Mus musculus: one gene and its partners. The protein of the gene in region 3 purifies or fractionates together with the protein of the main gene of each other region. This does not show direct contact. Links are inferred from orthologs where the notes say so. Each region holds a gene or a part of one and is shown on either strand. Other genes may lie near its edges.

Region 1 (4,154 bases), on a different chromosome or scaffold from region 3:
AATTTAAAATCGTGTTGGTCATACAACATGGGCAATACCTTCCATCTTGGGGTTCTCTGACCTAACTTGTGACACTCAAACTTGAATTGCCATGCTACTGCTGAGTATTTAGTAAGCATACAGCACTAGCATTAAAGGCAGGAAAGGAAAAGCTATGAGACCATAAATAGGGAAAGGTGCCCCTTATTCGAAGTTGAAACTCCTCATCGGGTTAAAAATAAATAAATAAATAATCTCAGTACAACCAACATTTGCTATGAAGACTGCCGACACAAAGGCAACATTCCTTCCTATAAAGGTATCTTAGGTTAAACTAGCAGTGGATCTTTGCCTAAGGTTCAAGCCTGTGCCCTTCGTCCTTTCCTAGACATTAGACTATTAACTTTGTTTCCAATTAAGTTATCTTAACTCTAGTAACCCCGGAATATGGGGCTTTACCGTAGCAATCCTAATCTTGTTGGGTAGTCTTCAGGAACCACCCTATGATCTCCCTTAAACTCAACAATCCTTCAGAGACATTAGTCCTTCAAAGACAATGTCCTCAAAGGTCGCCAAAATGCTGTACATAAACATTAAGGACAATGAAGCGTGACTCTCCTTATAGCTCTGAGGCATAGTGGCTCCTCTTAAAATCCGTCGTCTTGGTGTGTCCACGGATTCTCAAACCAAACCCTCGGGGCTGTTGTGGACGACAGCCTCGGGAAGGTGACAAAGCGAAGCCATCTGAACTGCCTTAGGAAGTGTGTAAAACGCCACTGGTGTCTCTCTACGATGCTAACTTCCATTAGTGAGCGCTCACGCGTCACGGTGCTCCCCCCGATGGCGCGCGCTAACCGCTGCTCCCGAACCCCCTCGCCAGCTCGGGGTTCCGCTTAAAAAAGTAACGGGCTCACGGCTGAAAACCCGACATGAAGAGGTGCCCAATGAGCACAAGACAAACCCTAGGCTGCCTGACCGCAGACCGCCCAGCACAGAGCAGGGGAAGGCACGACGCGGCTCAAAAGAAACAGGCAGAAAGCGACGGAGTTCATCTTTCCCGCTGGATCCCGCAGGACCAACCGGTCCGCCTTCGGGCTCGCTCCGCGCCAGTTCCGATCGCGCACATTTACTACGTCACGGCGTCCAGTCTCGCGGTATCCTCCTGCCGCCGAGGCCCTTTCGCAAAAGTCTCGCGAAACCTGTTCCTCGGGCCCACGGCTCCGCGCTCGCCCTCCTCCACTCCGCCCCTACCCCGGCTTCTCCCTCACTCGCTCCCCGGGTCAGGAAATTCCCCGCTCGGGTCCGGCAGGCGCGCCTCCTCCCTCCCAGTTCCGAGTTCAAACCGGAACTGGAAGTGTGGTGGGCGGGGCCCGGCGACGGAAAGCGCTGAGGAGCCGAAGCCGGGACTCGGCGGTGGCCCGGGTCGGTCCCGCGCCACGGAGCGCCGGGCGGCGGGGCTGCGGGGCTCCGGGCTGAAGGGCGCTGCGCGAGCCGGAGGGCGGGCGCGGCCCCCCGGGCGCCGCGGGGGATCATGTCGACAGCCTCCGCCGCCTCGTCCTCCTCCTCGTCTTCTGCCAGTGAGATGATCGAAGCGCCGTCGCAGGTCCTGAACTTCGAAGAGATCGACTACAAGGAGATCGAGGTGGAAGAGGTGAGCGAGGCCGAGACCTGCTGCCCCGCGCCGCCTGGGATCCCGGGCGGGAGGCGGCTTCCCCATGGGCTTCGGGGGTTGAGTCTGAATCTGTGATTCTCTACCTGATTCTTATGTGGTCGGCAGTTCAATTATCCGTAAATAGATTGAGCAAAGTTTGGTGGCCGCGGGATTTCAGCTCGCTGGTAGTGGTGTTAGAGTCCAGGATAGTGTGTGTGTGTGTGTCTGTCTGTCTGTCTGTATGTCTGTCTTGTCTGTCTGTGTGACTTCTAGCGCAGTGTGTGACACGAAAGGATGCTTGGGACAGGCTGGTAAAGAGAACGTCGAACGTCTCACGGTGCTTCCCCTGGTCCCGGATTCTTCTTTCTCTGATACCGTAGGTAGTTCTACCTTCTATTGGGCTCTGTAGATGAATTTCAATCTCTAGTAACGTTAAGTCTGTTATGAAAACATGTTTCAAGTAGCATAGTCTGAAGAGGCAAGTAGTGATTATGGTGACAGTCAGAATATTACGCTACACCAGAAATCGCTGTTAGAAAAACCGAATAAATTCAATGTTCAGGTGGAAGAGTGTCTTCACTTCATCGCCTATTTTCAGATTCACAGTGGGGCCAGTGACTTCTAAGAGTCTTAATATTTACTGAAGAGGAAAAAATCTGTACATATATTCAAAATGCCGTTTAGAACTCGTTGAAGCTTTGGTTAGAAACGCGTTCACGCAGTTTCTATGAGTTTAACCGTTTTTTAAGAGCACTGTGCATTTTCTGTGCCTTAATGTGTGGGTTTTTTATAGCTAGACTGAGTTGTCTTTTCTTCATTTTTAAAGTATTATAGTAAGGAGTTAAAAGATGCAAGCAAATTAACAATCAATAAATACATCTTTACCTTAGAGGACTACTAAGTCATATCTTTGTATCACAAAAACTAACCAGAGATGAGTGTGTTCATTGAGAGCATGATTATCTTAGAAAAAGTGTGCTGGATAGGGGAAGGTTTGAGACAGAGGAAGACGCTTCAGAGATAGACAGAGCACTGTGGGACTTGGTTTCCTACTGCTTTCTGTGTGTTCGTTTCCTTAACTGTAAGATGGGAGTGATTGCTACTTTATCAGTGTGACAAATCCAGTTAAGCAGTGTGTGCAGAAAATCCAATATAGTGCCTGACATATTGTTAGGAAGCAAAGTTCCAGACAGGAAGGGTGACCTGCTTTAAGGTCATATGCTAAAAGAAGGCCTGTTTTTGAAGAGGAAAACATTTTATATGTCCCCCCCACCCCCATTGAAGCTAAGATAAATTCCTTTTTTCAGAAGCGGGTAGTTGGTCCAGCTTTCATGGATAACATTCTTTTTTAAGACTAAAACTTCAGTGAGTCAGTATACAAGAATCGCAGCTTTTAAATAAGCATTTACGTGTACTCTCATGAATTGCTGTCCTTGTAGACTACAAATTGTTATATAATAATAACTTGTACTTCATGGTCTACCACATATTTCCACGAGCTTACTTTGTTTGATTTTTGCAGCCTTAGTTTTTTGCACACAACTTTTTAAAGCTTTCACATTCTTGCCTCATTGGGGCCTGCAAGTTGCTAAGGGAGACAATAATCAATTTGAAGCCCTCAATCCAAAGCTGGTACATTTTTGAAATTTGTTTCGTCTTAGAACCTAGTTTATTTTTATAGTCCCGATTTAATTCAGGCCTTTCTGATGTCAAAACCATTACATAATTTCCATTATAGTCTTCCTGTGAGCACATTAAAGAGATTGTGCAGTCAGAGGTGCATCATGGGCACTCAAACTATTTCAACTTACATTCCATCTCTAGTTTAAATCATAAATAGGAAAACAGAAAGATGACCCAACATGAAAACTATCTCACATGCCTTCAGTGTTTTATATGGACAAGTATATCATAGCCCTATCAATTAAGAAAAGAATGGCTTGGTGTATAACCCAGTATTGAAGTTCTTGCCCTCTGTGCTTGAGGCTCAGGCTCCAATCCTAGCACCACAGAAAGCGAAACAGTAAGTCGAGAGAACCACATTATTTATTTCTCAACCCATAATATAATGGACTCAGCACTACACAAAGATAATTAGAAGCTGTGGCAGGAAAACATCTAACTCCAGGCAGATGGGGAATCATTTCGTAGATACACATTTCTAAGACAGCAGATGTTTCCATCATTGCAGTATCAGAGTACTGTGGCTCTTCACTTTCATGTCAGATTATATTAGTTTTCTGCCTAAGAAATCTACATGAGTACTTAATTTTTATAAGTCATTCAGTTTTTAACCTTCTGTACGTCAGTGAAGAGAGTCAGGACATAGACTAGACACTTTCAGGATTGGATGGTTTGGTGGAAAATGTACTCAGATTTAGAAAATTAGATGCTGCATTGTGTCAGAATATATGGAGTCAGGTCATTCAATTTGGAGACCTGTGATATCTCTCTTAAATTGATAGATTAGACAAAATTATTAGAAATCTATTCCTGTTGTAAAAATAAAATACCTTGTTTCCAA
Region 2 (4,300 bases), on a different chromosome or scaffold from region 3:
TGGGTCTTTGGAAATGCCAAGAGTAAACCACCTAGAATGGAATAGGTAGAGTGAGCAGAATGGCATCCATTGTGAATGTTCAGTAGAGAAATGTCTGCAGAGATCTCGCTGTCAGCTTCTCCCTAGGTAGTCGGGTGTTCATTTAAGGTGCTATAGTAGGGAGCGGGAGTTTATCGAGGCTGATCTGGTCACGGGCTTTTCACATTAGAGACCTCAAATTACACCCAGGATCCACGCTACAAGAAAAGTTAGGCTGTTGTTCTCCTACCTTACAGGAAAGGAAGAAGAAAGGAGTGGGCACAGCAATGTTGACTGTGAAATTGGGGGCTCTGTCTTGGGACTTTTCCATCTCTCACCAGTTGCCATGTTGGGAGTACAATTTCCCGGTTCTAATTCTAGCTCCTGAGTTCTCCTCATAGGGATGGTGCTCAGCTCAGAGTGCAGGCATGAAGATGTGTCACTGGGCAGTGTGCCACAAGCTAAACCCTCAAGTCCTGGGCCAGCAAGTTCCATTATGGGAGTGTGTTACAGTCTTACAGGAAGGTAGGATTGCTTTTCTTTTCTTTTTTTTTTTTTAATTTTGTTTTAACCCGTATACGAGTTCACTATAGCTGTCTTCAGACACACCAGAAGAGGGCATCGGATCCCATTACAGATGGTTGTGAGCCACCATGTGGTTGCTGGGAATTGAACTCAGGACCTCTGGAAGAGCAGTCAGTGCTTTTACCTGCTGAGCCATCTCTCCAGCTCAGGCAAGGTTCCTTATTAAGCAGGGACTGCTGGTGTTGGCCTTGTGATAAAACATTCCTTGTGGCCTTTCTGGGAGCAGGTGGATCTTAACAGGGGCCTGGCCTGGTGAGTGATATGCAACAAGGGGCTAGCAGGTAACTGCTGAGGGCTGGACAAATAGATTTAAGAGAGAATTCTTCAACCCTCTGGCCAATGTTGTCAAGATGGCTATGTCCTCCTTGGCATGGCAGTGTGAAAGGGGAAGGAGACTAACGTTTACAAACCTGGACTTCAATTGTCACAGACATAGCTTGGCTGGACCCTCTGAGAGGCGAGTTACTCAGTATCTCCCACTGCACATCGGAATTCGGTAGCATCCATGTGCCCAGTTGCTTCCTCAAAGTTTGTTTTGAAAAGTAGATTGTGATCATTGATCCAGGAGCAGGAGGCTTGGGTTTCTCCTTCTTCTTCCTGCAGAGCTTTCCCAGAATGGAAGCCAGGAAGTGTCCGAAACCTGGAGAAGCTGGCAGTTACTGCAGTTGCACAGGAGAGGGGAGGCGGGCCCGGACCTTGGCTCCCGCGCTGGGGTACAGAGGCGACACGCCTACCTGACTTCTCGCGGGTGCGAGCCGGTGCGGGAGGGGCCCAGAGCAGTGTGGGAAGGCGGAGTCCGCCGGGAAAACGAAACAGAAGAGAACCGGCCAGGCCCGGACTTCCATGGGCAGCAGCAGCGGCAGGGAACGGAGGGCGAATAGATTTCAGAGCCTGCACCTGAAGTACAATTCGAATCCTGCTCCAGGGAGCGAGCCACTGTCCGGATCCAGAAACTTTGGTAAGACCTGAGGGCTATTTTCCCACTCCTGGATAGCGGTTGCAGGAAAAGGGACCCAGAAGGAAAATGACAAGCCCAATGACTTAAAACTCTGGAGGGAACTCTAGAAGCCTGAATGACCCAGAGACTGAATTCTGCGCCAAGACTTTGTGCTGCACAGTCATGGCATTCCAATTAGCTGTCCTTTGTGACAAGCGGGTCCTGCTCCATCCTCCACCAGCCGCTATGGTCAGGCAACCCCCCCCCCCGCGCCTCCCCCTCCCCTTCCCCCTTCTTCTCCCAACTCCCCCGCCCAGTGCCCACCACTTTCAGACTTACTTGGTGGTTCTGGGCCACAGCCAAATACCCTCCAACTCCTGCCTTCATGCTGCCTGTTTCTACTTCCTGGAAAGCCCTTTCCACCTCACCCCACCCCCAAGTGACTTCCTGGGCAGATCTGTCTATCCAGTCCTTTTCACAGAGCCAATGATATGAATTACCTTCCCTAAGCTAGAAACTCCACTCTGCCCTCATAGCCAGCGCCCCCCGTCCCCTGCCCCATATTTTTCTCAATCTTCCAACTAGTACTTAGTACTAGAATTAGTCTTTTTCCTTCTACCAGTAAGATCCCAAGAGCAGTTTTCATTGGCTTGTATAAGCCTAGCACCTGATCCCTGACAGGTGCTCGTTCCATGTATGTTAAGTGGATGGTAATTCATAAATAACCTTGAATTCTAGAGAAACGGGATTCCCTGTTGCACCTTTAGTACTAACCGTGCCTTGCCCCCTGGAGTTAAAGACACTCTCAGGGCAGAGTGTGTGCTTGTTTTTCAGCTTGCCCTGCGGCCCTGGAGGGACCCAAACACTGTGTGCAGCTTGCTCCTTTATATATCATATACTAGCTGAATGCATGTTGTATGGGAAGCAGCGACTGGAGGGGCTCAGCCTTCTGGGGTCCTACAGTCTTCAGGAAGGAGAAAGATCAGGGTCTTCAGGATATAGGTGAGACAAGCAGGTGGCATTTGTTGGTGCATGTGATGGGCTGCTCTTTGGGTGAGCGACTGAGAGCTGAGAGCAGCTTCCTGGTAAGCATCCTGATTCCTTTATAGGAATCCCACCTGTCAATACAGTGGTGAGGTGGAGTGATTCTAGTTGCCCCTGCAGCATCACAGAAGGCCAGCCCATCCTGAGAGGTGAATAAAATTGCTCCCTAGACAAAGGGTTCCAACTCCTGGGAGCATGGATTGGACCGTACCTAGCCATTCATTCCCCAGTGGACTTATTCATTCATTTGTACCAAGCCCTTATTATAGTTCTGGTACCTTCATTCCTTTTTCAGTTACAACTGTTATATTGATTTTTAAAAAGAATTTATTGGGGGCTGAAGAGATGGCTCAGCGGTTAAGAGCGCTGACCACTCTTCCAGAAGATCTGAGTCCAGTTCCCAGCAACCACATGGTGGGTCCCAACCATCTGTAATGGGACGGATGCCCTCTTGTGGTGTGTCTGAAGAGAGTAACAGACACTGTACTCACATTCATAAAAAGTAAATAAATCTTTCTAAAAAATAATTTATTTACTTTTTATTTTTAATTATGTATCTGTGTATGAGTGTGTGCATAGGAATGCAATTCCCTTGGAGGCCAGGGAAGGTGCCGGATCCCCAGAAGCTAGAATTACAAAGAGGTTTGAGCTGCCTGCCATGCTGAGAACCACACTTGGATTCTCTGGAAGCGCAGCGGTGCCGTTAACTGCTGGGTCATCTTTCCAGCTGTACATTTACTTATTTAGTTTTATGTTTTTCTATTATTTGTATGTGAGCGTGTGTGTATGTATGTGTGTTCACATGTGCTTCAGGGAGCCCGTCTAGGTCACAGGACAACTACGTAGGTCCCAGGGATTGAACTCAGATGGTCAGTCTTTGCAGCAGGCTGCTTCACCTGCTGATCCATCTTGCCAACCCTGGTGAAAACCATCACTCTGTAGGTAGAATGTAAGGTCACAGCCTGGAGGTGATCATCAGGAGAGACGCTAAGTACAGAGCAGGAAGAGACTTGAGGACTGGGTCTCTGGATGAAAAGAAGATGAGGAGGAGCCAGGGAAGGAGGCAGAGAAGGCCCAGCTTGTGAGAACAGAGGAGACCCACAGAAACCTAAGCTAATGGGGGTGGGGAGTTGAGGCGGGAACAAGTGACCGAAATTGGACTATTGGATTTGACAATGAATGAGCCCCTGGGACTCTCGCAACAGCAGTCTTGGTGACTTGTAGAGGCTCCAGATGCTTTTAAAGCAGTGGTCCTCAACCTTCCCCTTAACACCCGCACGTTGTGCTGACCTCAACCATATTATTTTGATGCTACTCCTTAACTGCAATTTTGTTGTTCTGAATTACACTGTAAATATCTGATATGTGACCTCTGTGAAAGGGGTCACAGCCCACAGGTGAAGAATCGTGCTTAAAATTTAAAAAGTAAAATTACATTTCATAAGGCGGTGAGGATCAAATGTGGGGCTTTGTGTAGGCTACACAAGCCCTCTACCAATGAAGCTGTCTCCAAACCCACTGAGCCTAATGTCTTAAATGTACCAATTCATTTTTAAACAGATATGTAGAAACAAAAATGTCCAGATTAGGCGTAGGTGATATTTTGATAATAAGTACACACTGTATAATATTACATCAGGTCTAATGTAACCATACCCAGAAACAGTTCGCTTCCTTTCTCCTGGGGACATTTCACCTCTTTGGCTATTTCTCTGT
Region 3 (3,500 bases):
CTCAAATGAGGTTTCTTCTAACTTGTGCCAAGTTGGCAAAAACCTAATCACTATATACATCCTAGGTTTGTGTATGATTTTTTTTTGTTTTGTTTTTTGTTTTTGAGCAGGGTTTCATTATGGACCCCCCAGTTGACCTACTACTCACTTTGTAGACTAGGCTGGCCTTGAGATCTGTCTGCTTCTGCCTGAGTGCTGGAATTAAAGGCATGTGCCACCTTGCTTGGCCTAGAACATGCTTTTTTTAAATTGTTGTTTCCATGCTGGTCATTTTAAATAAAAGTATCAACATTTGTGGGACTTATTAAAAAGTTGTCTTTTATATTATAATCATTCTTAATATTTGATTTTAAATGTATCTCTTTGTCAGCAATTTCAATTTCGAGTGCTATTGCCCTTGTCTTTACTTATTTTATTATTATTGTTATTATTTTTCTACACTTATCTTTACTTCTTATGAGCCTTCTCATAAAATATACTCAGCCTCAGTATGGATTTCATGATTGTTTTTACCCTTATATCTCTTGTCATTGTTACAATTTTTGAAACAGACCCGTGCTGGCCTTGAACTCATGGTCCTGCCTCATCTTCCCCTGTGCTGGCCGTATAGACATGCACCACTATGCCCAGTCCTTATAATTTCTTTATTATGACTTTTTTTTTATTTGACTATTCTCTGATGGTGTAGTGATTGATGATTTTGGTGTTACTACTCAGCAATAGTAGACTTGTTTTTTCCTTTTTCCTTTTTCCTTTAGCTACTCAACAAACCAGAAAATTGTTGTGGACTTAAAGAAAGCCAGATACTTTCTTTACTGAGTGACATAGGTATGTAACTAATATTAAACTATCATTGCGATTTAATGCCCCTTTGGTACACAGAAACTTCTGTGTGCTGCTTAGAAGCGAAGGAGAACTGTTTATATACTCTACAAAGCATAAGGATTTTTATCATCTCTAAAAAATTAGAAATATCCATTTCTTATGATGCTAATGAAAACTAGTGCATTCTGGCATTTGTTTCTATATGAGGGGGTTTTGTTTGTTTGGTTTTGGCTGTGTACCGCTGTCTAATAGATGTTCCAGTGATAACAAAAGTGGTATAAAACAGCATTCATTTCATCCCCTCTCCCACCTTCCCCCAACACTGACGTAGTAGTAGTTTTGTTTATAGAGGAATTACATCTTTAGGAGGATAGGTCCTCAAGTTACCTTGAGATGAATTACTACTGAAAAAAATCCCTAAAATAACCATGATCTAGACCTTTAATGAAACCTCAAAAACCAAGAATTAATTTCCCTGTGTGTTTTGGTGTTGCTTCTTTTCCTGGGTCATGGGCAGTAAAGTCTAGTTAAGAATGTGATTTAGGGGTTACAGCTATTCCTCAAAAATTGATCATTCCATTTGCTTTTAATGTTGATTCCAATAAATGAGTATATATTATAATTTTTTAGTGTTTATTTGATGTTATTGAACTTCTGGTGAAGAAAATCTGAACTACTCTAATGATGATGCAGCTGTGATAGATCGTATAAATGTGGGAGGATGTGGTGTGTTGTGGTATGTGTGGTACATGAGGTCTTGAGGTACGTGTGTGGCACATGAGAGTGATTGTTGGTGCACACTCAGAGGAGCATGCATCTGGAGGCAAGGGCAGGATGGCAAGTGTTCTTGTTTTCTTAACTTGATTGTTTTGAGACAGGGACTCTGACTGAACTGGAAGCCCCATGTTCTGACTAAGCTGGCTGACCAACCAGCTTGAGGTTTGCCTCTCCCCACTTTTAACCCTCTGGGGTTATTGTTACACAAAGTCATACTTGACTATTTTATGTGAGTGGCAGGGGTTTGAACTCAGGTCCTCGGGCTTTCACAGCACTGGCTTTGATCCATTGAGCCATCTCCATGGGCATAATTTTTGCACCAGTATTATAGATCTATAGAAAATGTGAGCTAAAAACTGACTGTAGCTAGACATACCTTTTATTCCAACATTGGGAGACAGAGGTAGAAGTTCTCTGTGAGATCAAGACCAGCAGGCCAGCCAGGGCTATATAGTGAGACCCTGTCTAAAAGAAAGTTGATTGATTGAAAGCTGTAGGCTGATTGATGCCTACAATCCCAGCACTTGGGAGATAGAACAAGAGGATAAAGAATTGGAAGGGATCCTGTGCTACATAGGGATTCCATGCCAGACAGCACATGGGACTTGGTCTCAAAACACTAGCAACAAAAACAAAATGTGATGTGATTTTTTTTAAACAGTATTTTCTGTTACTTCACAATACACTTCAAATTTTATTTAGGATCTGGGATCCGATATCTGCATGAAAACAAAATTATACATCGAGATCTAAAACCTGAAAATATAGTTCTTCAAGATGTTGGTGGGAAGGTAGGTGAACCCTGGAGAATGTTCATGCTTATTGTTATAGTCTCCCTGATATATTAAGTCCTTAGAGACTTTAGTGCCCTTATTAATTATATACACATAGTACTTTATAATTTTTCTATTGCAGTTTTCACTGACTTAAACTGTAGTTTTTTAATTCTGGATTTATTATTGTTGTTCTAGATATATTGTTGTTGCTGCTGTTGTTGTTATTTTATGTGTATGTGGGCCACATGTGGTGCTTGTGGAGGACACAAGAAGAGGGCATCAGAGTCCGTGGGTCTAGAATTACAGTGGCTGTGAGCCATTAGTGAGTGATTGGAATTGAACTCGAGTTCTCTATAAGAGCAACAGGTGCTCGTAACTGCTTGGCCAACTGTCCAGCCCCTGAACTGTAGCTTTGTGGTTAGTTTTTCTTCTCTATGGAACAGTGGCTCCTTAGAGAAGCATCTGTCTTGCTCATGAAACTGCTAGAGATTAAATAACTTTATCAAGGTTATATGGTTAGCCAGGCATATTACCTGACATTTGTGATAACAACTTTTGGGAGGTTGAGGCAGGAGGGTTGATTTAAGTTTGATACCAACTTGTGTTACAGAGTGAGACCCTGTCTCAAAAATTAGCAGAAAGATTAACGTCTAAACAGTGGTCAGACTGTCAGACTTAGCACTTGTGTTGTCTCAGAGCCCAGCTTCTTTGCCATCATCTCTCCGGTTTGTAAAAACATTGGTACCTTTTTTTAAAATTATAATTATGTTATTTTGTGCGCATGCATGCATGCATGTGCTGTAACTTGTATTCAGGTAACAGGACAACCTGCAGGAATTAGTTCTCCTCCTCTCATATGGAACCTGGGGTTCAAACTCAGGTCATCAGACTTGGTATCAGGCGCCTCTATCAGCCGAGCCCTCTCAGTGGCTCACCTTTTTATTTTTTGCTGTGCTTAGACCCTTATACATGCAATGGGAGCAATCTGTCACTAAACTACATCCCCAACCTACCTTCCTTTACAGATATTTCAACAATTTAATACATAGTATGTCTTATTATTCACAGACAATACATAAAATAATTGATTTGGGTTATGCCAAAGATGTTGATCAAGGAAGT
Region 4 (4,281 bases), on a different chromosome or scaffold from region 3:
GCATGGCTGCAGAGCAGGCCAGTGGCAAGTCTCAGTAAGGCGGACCTTACTCACCTTGTGGCTCTGTCTAGGAGGCCCAAAGAGGTGTTGCCAAAGTGTGGACCCAGAAGGAGTCGCCTATCCCCCAACCCACTCCGGACTCGGGGGAAGATAGAGACACAAAGAAGGGAGGCGGGACTGGTTACTGCATAGAAACAGGGCTCACCACAGGTAGGAGCTGTCTCCAACAGTGGCTTCCAGGAAGAGCATCCGAGTGAGAAGGGTCACTAGAGAACAGCCAGAAATTGCTGTGTTCCACAAGAGGGCGCCCTGCTGGCTCTAACTGTGTAGCAACGGGATGGGGGAAGTAGGAGAGGAGGAGTTGGGGGCCTGGGGTGAAGGTTTGCTGGGCGAGTGATGGATATTTGTGTGACTCTCAGCCTCTGAAGGCCACTCTCAGGGTCAGGGATACTGCTGGAGCAGAACAGAACTGCTGCTGAGCCTCTGACTTAGCGCCCTGGAGGCTCTCTGAGCTGGGGCAGCTGTGCAGCAGATAGGGCACAGAACAGAGCCCCCCATCCCCATCCCCGTCTGAAGGGTATGGGGCGTGGCTGAGAGGAGAGTGAGTTCTTCTCCGGGAGTGGGGTGTGCTTCCCAGGTCAGCCCCAGGAGCCCGAGAAGGAGCTCCGATTTCCATCCTGGGCGATAGCGTGGACTACTAAATCTACCCTCTTGTTTACACTCCTGGTGAACTCTGACCCTTGTATGAAAAACAAAAAATGCCCCCTGGTTAAAAATACCAAACACATGAAGGTAAATTCACAAAAGGGTTACTATCAAGTCGGGCTTCTGGGACGAGGGAGGGGCCCTGCGCAGGAACTGCTGAGGCTGGCCGAAGGGGGAAGGACTGAGGATGGATAAGAGGCAGGAACCACCTTGACTCTTCAATTCCGGGACACCATAAGGAACCGCCCCCCAAGCCTCACCCATCTGAGTCCACAGCAAGGTCTTGGCTGACTGAGTCCTACCCCTGAATCTGCCCCCTCTGGGTGTCCAGGTGTGCTCCCGTCCTCCCTGTCACCTGGGGAGTCCTTATCAGTTGCTGTGGCAGGCAGTACTGGGTTGGATGAGCCCTCAATAGCCTTCTTTCTTGTGTTGGCTGGCCTTTAGGACACCGGTGACCGGTCTCTCCCGGCTCCCAAGATGGGGACAGTTGGGCCTCTTGAGAGTCAAACTGATTCACTTCCCACGCTGGCCTCCCTCCTTGGGGTCTGGAGAGCTAGGCAGGGAAGGGCCAGGTCCCACAAACCGGGAAACCCAGACCAGAGCTGGAGCTCTGGATCTGCGGCGGGGCTCCGTTACCCGCGTGGCCCTGGCTCGGGGCCACCCGAGGGCGGCGCCTGCGGGGCCGCGCTCGCGCTCACGGGGTGCCTCGCCCTGGCCGCGGGCCGCGCCGGGGGCGCCCGGGGCGGCGGAGGCGGATGTGGGCGGGCGGCGCGGGCGCGGGGCGGGGAGAAGGCGGGCCGGCGGCGGCGGCGGCAGCACCGAGTCGGCGGGCGGCCGGCCCAGCGCGGCAGCGCACGCGAGTCCGGGACCAGCGGAGCGGACCGAGCAGCGTCCTGTGGCCGGCACCGCGGCGGCCCAGATCCGGCCAGCAGCGCGCGCCCGGACGCCGCTGCCTTCAGCCGGCCCCGCCCAGCGCCCGCCCGCGGGATGCGGAGCGGCGGGCGCCCGAGGCCGCGGCCCGGCTAGGCCCAGTCGCCCGCACGCGGCGGCCCGGTGAGTGCCCGCGCCGCGCCCTGTTCCGGGCCGCGGCCACCCCGCTTTGTTCCCGGCCGCGCCGCGCCTCGGAGTAGGAGCAGGAAGTGGCCGAGCGGAGGCCTGGGCGGGGAGCGCGCGGGGCCGGGCTGGTCGCGCAGGAGGCCCACGCCGGCGAGGGTGCGGGCGGCCGCTGCGTGACCTTGGGTGGCCGCTCCACGGGGCCAGGTCGCGGGAGAGGGGCGCTGTTGGTGTGCGCAGTGGGGGCCGGTGCGCCCTGGGGCCTGGGGCTGCCCGGGCACTCGGCCAGCGAGGGTAGGAGAAAGGCTCGCCCCGCGGCCTGCGTGCGGTGGGAGGGCCCTGGGAAGGAGAACTCATTTCCCACGGACAGAAAGTTGTGCGCGGTGGCACAGTGCCCAGGCTAGCCCACAAAGGACTGCTAACCCTCCTGGGCCCGGAAGCTGCTTCCTGGACTAGGTGGTTTCTGGAGGTGCCGGGGGGGGGGGGGGCCTTGAGGACGGCGTGGACTCGGTCTCCCGGATCCGGGATACTGGCTGAGCTGATGGAATTGTCTAAAGAGGACTGGTTTCTAAGTTGGGCGGTGGTGGAACCTTGGGCCTCTGCTGTGTGGCCAAACTCCTCCTTCCCCCAGGCCCCTGGTCTTGCTCCAGGTGGCTAGCCTTGACTGCCTAGAGCCATCACTAAAGTGAAGGGCGAGTCGCCTTGGTGGGGCCCCAGCTGGGCGTGTGGCTCACGGGCCAGTGTCCCAGAGGGGCTGAACTCTTAAGACTTAACAATAGCAACCATATGCCCTTACGGCATGGCATGGTGGGAAGAGTGTCCCATGCTTAAGTCGGCTTGATGTGGACATTGGCGTTAACATGGCTGTGTTTCTTCACTCCGTGTGTATGAATTTATTTTTACACGGCTCTGGACAGCTGACTGTCATCAGCAGACCTTGGGGCTGGGTGGGGGTAGGGGACATCCACCGAGAGAGATCTTGCAGTACAGCCCTCTGCCTCCAGGCCACACCCACTCTGACAGTCACTGAGCTGGGATTTCTTCTTGGCTTATCTTTTTCGTTCTGGCTTTTAGTCGCCACCTGCTTGCTGAGGGAAGGGCTCTTTCCTTCTTGGGCCAGGTGTGGTCTTTCCTACTTTGGCATTTGGCATTTGACACATAGCAGCCGGCCTCCCTTTTGTTCCACATTTAGCTTCATACAAGGCAAAGTGACAGAGACTCTGGGTGCCAGCTTGTGTCTTCTGGGCTAGAGAGATGACATAGGGGGTTGCCAGTCAGCTGTAGTAGACCCTAGTTGGGATCTATTCCACGGCGGCCTTCCAGTCTTTTCCTGGGGATTGTCCACATGAACTCCAGGTGGAGGGACAACACAGGCTTGCTGGTCAAGGGCTGTTCAGGTGCACTTTCCCAGAATGTCCAGACTTGGGGATATTTGAAGGATACCTAGGTGTCCCTCTGGAAGAGAAGCAATTGGGGGGCGGGGGGATCTTTGCGAGGTGAGCTGGCACCCTTTGCTTTGCACAGGCTAGCTAGTTGGCCGCTGCAGGACCCTTGTGTGTTACCTGCCCTGTTTGTGGGCTCCCGGATACTGTAATTGTGGGTCGTAACCACTGCTTTGGGTGTTCCCAGCAGGCTGTCTCAGAGTCTCTCTGTCTCAGGCGTAGGGTGAAGGCTCGACAGAACCATATGTGCCTAGTGTGTACTCACCAAGTGAAGGGGACAGCTTCACAGGCAGGGTGCTGTGTTCCCAAGGGGTCTGGGGTTCTGCCTGAGGAGTTTTTAGTGTTGTCCTGAAGGACTTTGGGCTCAGCTTCATACCGTGCCTGTTCTACTTGTGCTCTCCAGTGTTGGCCTTCCCGCGTTCCTAACGTGAGCCGTAGGGACCCTGCGACCTGCAGTAGGCCTCCCAGACTGTAGGGGGTGGTGAGACAGTGGTAAGCACCCCTCACTAGTGCGAGGCAGAGCAGAAGCAGTCAGGGCTGCCTGGAGGAGGTGGCCTAATCTGCTGGGGTAGCAAATTGAACAAGCTGCCTAACAGGAAAAGCCTTCTGGAAATGAATGTTTCTAGCAGAGACCAGGATGATGGGGGTTGGCCACAGCCTTGCACCCCGGACTACCAGGCCTAGATCTGGGTGTGTAGCATCTACTACTGGAGGGAGGTCTTCTATAGCAACCTTTGGAGACACGTCAGGCAGGCTGGCAGGGAGTAAGGGTGAGGAGGGAACCTGGGAACCAGAGATGGGTAGATCACATGAGGGGACATGGGTAATTGTGGGCCCTCTGGGGCTCACGGAAGCTAGTCCCAAGTGGGACCTTGTCTCACGTGCTTTCTCGGCTTCTTCTAGACGCTGCGGCCAGGCCGGCTGGGCTCAGCCTACCGAGAAGAGACTCTGAGCATCATCCCTGGGTTACCCCTGTCTCTGGGGGCCACGGATACCATGAACGACGTAGCCATTGTGAAGGAGGGCTGGCTGCACAAACGAGGTAAGTCCGCACTCCACAGGAGAAGCAGGCCGGCCTGGG
Region 5 (4,070 bases), on a different chromosome or scaffold from region 3:
GGGCAGGCAGTGGAGCTGCCTCAGGATAGGTTTGGAGGTAATGCCACTGAAGAAATGGGAACAAGTACTTGTAGAAAAATGAAGTCTTGTTTGTGAATTTATTCAGTGAAGAAAGCGGAGAAATAGAGTACCCATTGAAGGTAATTTTGGATCCAGAGGAAGCATAAATTTAAGTAAGGAATTTTGGTTATGTTTATATGCTGATGAAAATGATTCCTTGAAGAAAGGGGGTTGGAACTATAAAGATACTGGAGTAAAACATGTGGGCATGTGGGAGTGAAATAATCCAGGTCACTGGTCAGGACCTGGCCTTCTTGAATTCAGAGTAACCCAAATGTTAAGAGGATTTTGATAGTAAAAAGTTGATCAGTTAAAAAAGGCTGGGGTTTTGAAGGAAGCTTTTAGTAGATAGGAGTAAGTCTAAATATCAATGTAGGTGAAGAAAACCCTTCTGGGATTAAGCACACCCCACCCCCCCCAATCCATTTTTCTCTTGGTGAGCCTTTTAATCTCTATGCTGTTCATCACCATTAGTAATTATATCTTAATAGTTCACAGATCTGTACCCCATGAGCGACAGGTCAGGGATCTTCTCTAATTTCTGACTACCCAGGGTGACGCGATGAATAAATGTCTTCAGAATTTGCCTTAGCTACTACTGTTAAATGCTGTTTAGGAGAGTCCCTTTTTCCCCTCAGAGCTTTTATTTCGGAAAAGATACCATGGGAATGATATATATATATATATATATATTTTTTTTTTTTTTTCTTTTTTGGCCTAACTGCCTCATCATGAGGATCTGCGTAAACCCAGAAACGCTTCGTCAAATTCTCCTTAGACAAAACTGACTAATTGGCTAGTTGTGATCGACCGGCAGCTGGGTAGGGTACAGGTGCAGAACGCATCTTGCGCATGGGGGCGCGCCGTGGCTTCAGTCAACTGGGGCTCAGAGGGCAGCCGAAGGATGAGACTGAGGCCAACACCTCCCCAGATGTGGCCTCTTCCCTGGGCGCTACTGGCTCGGCCAGTGTGGGGGCGGGGAGGCCGAGGGGGTAGTAACTGTCAAACTCCCGCTTGGCGCCATTATTTAAATAGTGCGTGTGGGTCTCGCAGCTGTGCGTGCCCGGGGCGGGGCAGCGAGCTCCTGGAGTGGGGCGGAGGCCAGGGGCGGAGCGGGAAGGCTGAGGGGCGGGGTGGAGGCGGAGTCAAGTCCGCTAGAGGGGAGGTTCCAGCGCGGCCCCCGGCGAGCTTCATTGCGCTTGCGCTGACAGACGCAAGATGGCGGACAGTGCGGAACTAAAGGTAAAGCGCAGCTCGAATTCACTTCTAATATTCGGCCGCGGAGACGGCGCCGCGGCTGCCGGGGGGATGGGTCGGACCCTGGGGGGCCCGCTCGGGCCGGGCTCCACCCGAGTCTGGAGTTGTAGGCGGGAGAGGCGCTCCGGGCCTTAGTGGAGGGGGCCTGGCTGCGGCGGGCCGTGGGCCCCGGGTGCCTCGGGGGCGCTGACGGGTCGTCCCCGGCGTGTTATTGTTGTGGGCGCCTCTGGCGGGGGTGGCGGGGCGAAGAGAGAGTGAGTCGGGACGTGGCGGCAGCGGCGGTCCCCGGGGCCTGGGTGCCTTACCTTGCAGCCCGCCTCCCCCCCCCCCCCCCATGGGCAGCCAGGGGGTGGGGGGGTGTAGGCTGCTCTGGGAAGAGGGGGATCGGGAAAACTGCCCCGCTGCCGCTTCCTCTTCCTCTTTCGCCGTCCCGGGCTCCTGTCAGGCGCAGCGCTCGGACCCCCGGGAACTTGGCTCCGGCCGCCCCGCCCCTCCGCGGCGCCCAGGCGCCCCCGCCTCGCTTGCCGCCGCTGCCCGCCCGCCTGTCAATGGGTGCCCGGCCAGAGGGAATGCGCGATCCCGGGGCAATCGGCTAGGGAATACGAGGGAGAAGCTCTTGGAAAGTTTAGCGAGCCCGGAGCCGGCGTTGGGGGTTCGGCTAAAGGGTTGCAGGGGGAGTCTGCCCGGGCGGGACGTTACTGTTTCTCTCTTGATTTCGGGCCACCGGGGAGGGTGTGTGTGTGGTGGTGGGGAGCAACCCATTGAAAGAGTGTGCTTTTGGGAGCGGTGGTGGGGATGCAGCCACCTCTCTGCACTCTTGCTGTCTCTGGTGTGGCAGATGAGAGCAGCCTTGGGGGTCTCTAAACACACCATGATGGCGATGCTATAGCTGATGGAGGTGAATGGTTCGTGTTTATATCCCCCGTTGCCTTTTGTTTGTTAGGGACATCTTGCTGGCCATGTTGATTTAAACGAAATTCTCCTCCCACCCACCCCCCATCCCACCCCAACCTCCAATAAATAGAACGTTCCATCGTTCCTCTCAACTGTACCAATTACTCATGCCTCGCGAAATTAGATGAAAGGGTGCCCCCTTTCCCCCGCTTTTTCTCCCACCCCAATCTTTACCTGATGATGGCTCCTTTACTGAAGCACATATACCACTACACAAGCAGTTGGGGGAGGGCTGGTGGAACCCTTATGATTGGATTGTGACAAATGGGTCTCTGCTTGAATAATTCTGGTTTAGTAGCAGGCAGGCAGTTCTTAACTAACGCATATTATTTAGAGGCTCTGAACATGGTATTCCCTTCTCTGGCTTCCTGTGTGCGAACCAAACAGCTGGTTATAGCACATCTCTGTCAGAGTGGAGATTGGGCTATGCAATTATAAATCCTCAGGGAGATTTAGAAATTCTTTTTATAATCAATAAAAAAAATTATTATTTTCCCCATTATAATGAAATAACTTCTAAAACAAGCAGACCACTACCTGTGTTTCTGGACACTTTTCTTTCCGTGCACCTGTGTGTGTGTGTGTGTGTGTGTGTGTGTAAAAGCCTCACTGGAAGATCTTTTTTTCCTTAGTAACTTTGGAGTGTTAACATATCAAGATTTTTGTACAAGATTTGGGTATTTGTTTTTTTTAAGTTTACTTCTAATTACTAACTTGTTTAAGACAGAAAATCTTAATGGATAGCGCCCCCCCCCCCTTTTTTTTTAAGACAGAGGTTTGCTATGTTGCTGAGGTTGGTCTGGAACTCACTGTGTAGACAGACCATACAGGCTTTAAACTTCAGGGATCCTCTAGCCTCTGCCTCCTTAGTGCTAGGATTAAAGGGATTAAAGGCATTCACCACCATTCCTGACTTGGATAGTTTTTTTTATCCCAATTTCAGACTATTGATTTCACCAAGAAAGCCTCTGAAATTTAACATTTTGGAGACAACCACCTTGCATAAAAACAAACGAACAAAAAACCCCAGAGCTCAAGTATGTGTATTTTATGTAATTATTTTTCTGTCACTATGTTACTGTCATCTTTTATTTTTGATTTTGTTTTGAGGCAGGGTTTCTCTCTGTGTAGCCCTGGCTGTCCTGGAACTCACTCTATAGAACAGACTGGCCTCAAACTCAGAACTCAGAGATCTGCCTGCCTCCTGCTTCCCAAGTGCTGGGATTAAAAGCATGTGCCACCCCCATCCTCTTCAGAGTTGCTGCTGTCTTATCTTTGCTTCCTAATACTTTTTAGGAGTCAATTTGAAAAATAGCTGGCCAAGTTTTTTATACATGGACCATGTAGTAAGGCTTGAAAACCATATGGGAAAAGTACCTGCAAAGAACAGAGTACCTTTGTTGTTTCTATTTTAAGAAAGTGCCTTCGGGGCCAGGCATAGTGGCCCCATACCTTTAATCCCAGCCTTTGGGAGGCAGAGGCAGGTGAATCTCTTTTTGAGGATCAGCTGATCTACAGAGTGAGTTCCAGGATAGGCAGAGCTACTTAGTAAGATCATGTCTTGATAAAATAAAGAAATAGAATAAAGAAAAAGGAAAAAGAAAGAAGAGTGCCTTTGGGGATAGATGAGATTCCTGGTGTGAGTCTTGTTAGGTAAAGTTTACTCTTTACAGAAATGAGTCAGTATCACACAGACTCTGAACACTTAATGGAAATGGTATTTTTCTAAAACTGGTCTCCATTTTTTCACCCTCTCTAAAAGCTACTTGAAATTTCCAGAGGGTTTGTTTTCCACTCTT

Evidence for each region. Proteins that work in one complex are often made in the same cells at the same time.
Region 1: the proteins of Chuk (region 3) and Map3k7 purify together in Homo sapiens (affinity purification with western blotting; 9 studies listed by BioGRID and IntAct, with this or other methods). This does not show direct contact. The link is inferred for Mus musculus from reciprocal best matches to the Homo sapiens genes CHUK and MAP3K7.
Region 2: the proteins of Chuk (region 3) and Eif2ak2 purify together in Homo sapiens (affinity purification with western blotting; 3 studies listed by BioGRID). This does not show direct contact. The link is inferred for Mus musculus from reciprocal best matches to the Homo sapiens genes CHUK and EIF2AK2.
Region 4: the proteins of Chuk (region 3) and Akt1 purify together in Homo sapiens (affinity purification with western blotting; 5 studies listed by BioGRID). This does not show direct contact. The link is inferred for Mus musculus from reciprocal best matches to the Homo sapiens genes CHUK and AKT1.
Region 5: the proteins of Chuk (region 3) and Pias1 purify together in Homo sapiens (affinity purification with western blotting; 3 studies listed by BioGRID). This does not show direct contact. The link is inferred for Mus musculus from reciprocal best matches to the Homo sapiens genes CHUK and PIAS1.

Annotation. Positions count from the first base shown.
Region 1 is NC_000070.6:31,962,753-31,966,906, forward strand, and holds the start of Map3k7 (mitogen-activated protein kinase kinase kinase 7), read left to right. Parts: upstream 1-1,354; 5' UTR 1,355-1,510; coding exon 1,511-1,630; intron 1,631-4,154. UniProt on the Homo sapiens protein: Serine/threonine kinase which acts as an essential component of the MAP kinase signal transduction pathway. Plays an important role in the cascades of cellular responses evoked by changes in the environment.
Region 2 is NC_000083.6:78,879,661-78,883,960, reverse strand, and holds the start of Eif2ak2 (interferon-induced, double-stranded RNA-activated protein kinase), read left to right. Parts: upstream 1-1,500; 5' UTR 1,501-1,561; exon of another isoform or gene 1,562-1,589; intron 1,590-1,879; coding exon of another isoform or gene 1,880-1,927; exon of another isoform or gene 1,928-2,077; intron 2,078-4,300. Other genes in the region: uncharacterized protein Gm26637, read right to left, coding at 1,014-1,243, 1,338-1,500, 1,880-1,927.
Region 3 is NC_000085.6:44,097,478-44,100,977, reverse strand, and holds part of Chuk (inhibitor of nuclear factor kappa-B kinase subunit alpha), read left to right. Parts: intron 1-758; coding exon 759-828; intron 829-2,304; coding exon 2,305-2,393; intron 2,394-3,446; coding exon 3,447-3,500.
Region 4 is NC_000078.6:112,671,477-112,675,757, reverse strand, and holds the start of Akt1 (RAC-alpha serine/threonine-protein kinase), read left to right. Parts: upstream 1-1,481; 5' UTR 1,482-1,758; intron 1,759-1,818; exon of another isoform or gene 1,819-2,052; intron 2,053-4,103; 5' UTR 4,104-4,196; coding exon 4,197-4,242; intron 4,243-4,281. UniProt on the Homo sapiens protein: AKT1 is one of 3 closely related serine/threonine-protein kinases (AKT1, AKT2 and AKT3) called the AKT kinase, and which regulate many processes including metabolism, proliferation, cell survival, growth and angiogenesis.
Region 5 is NC_000075.6:62,978,080-62,982,149, reverse strand, and holds the start of Pias1 (E3 SUMO-protein ligase PIAS1), read left to right. Parts: upstream 1-1,270; 5' UTR 1,271-1,278; coding exon 1,279-1,302; intron 1,303-1,622; exon of another isoform or gene 1,623-1,636; intron 1,637-4,070. UniProt on the Homo sapiens protein: Functions as an E3-type small ubiquitin-like modifier (SUMO) ligase, stabilizing the interaction between UBE2I and the substrate, and as a SUMO-tethering factor. Catalyzes sumoylation of various proteins, such as CEBPB, MRE11, MTA1, PTK2 and PML.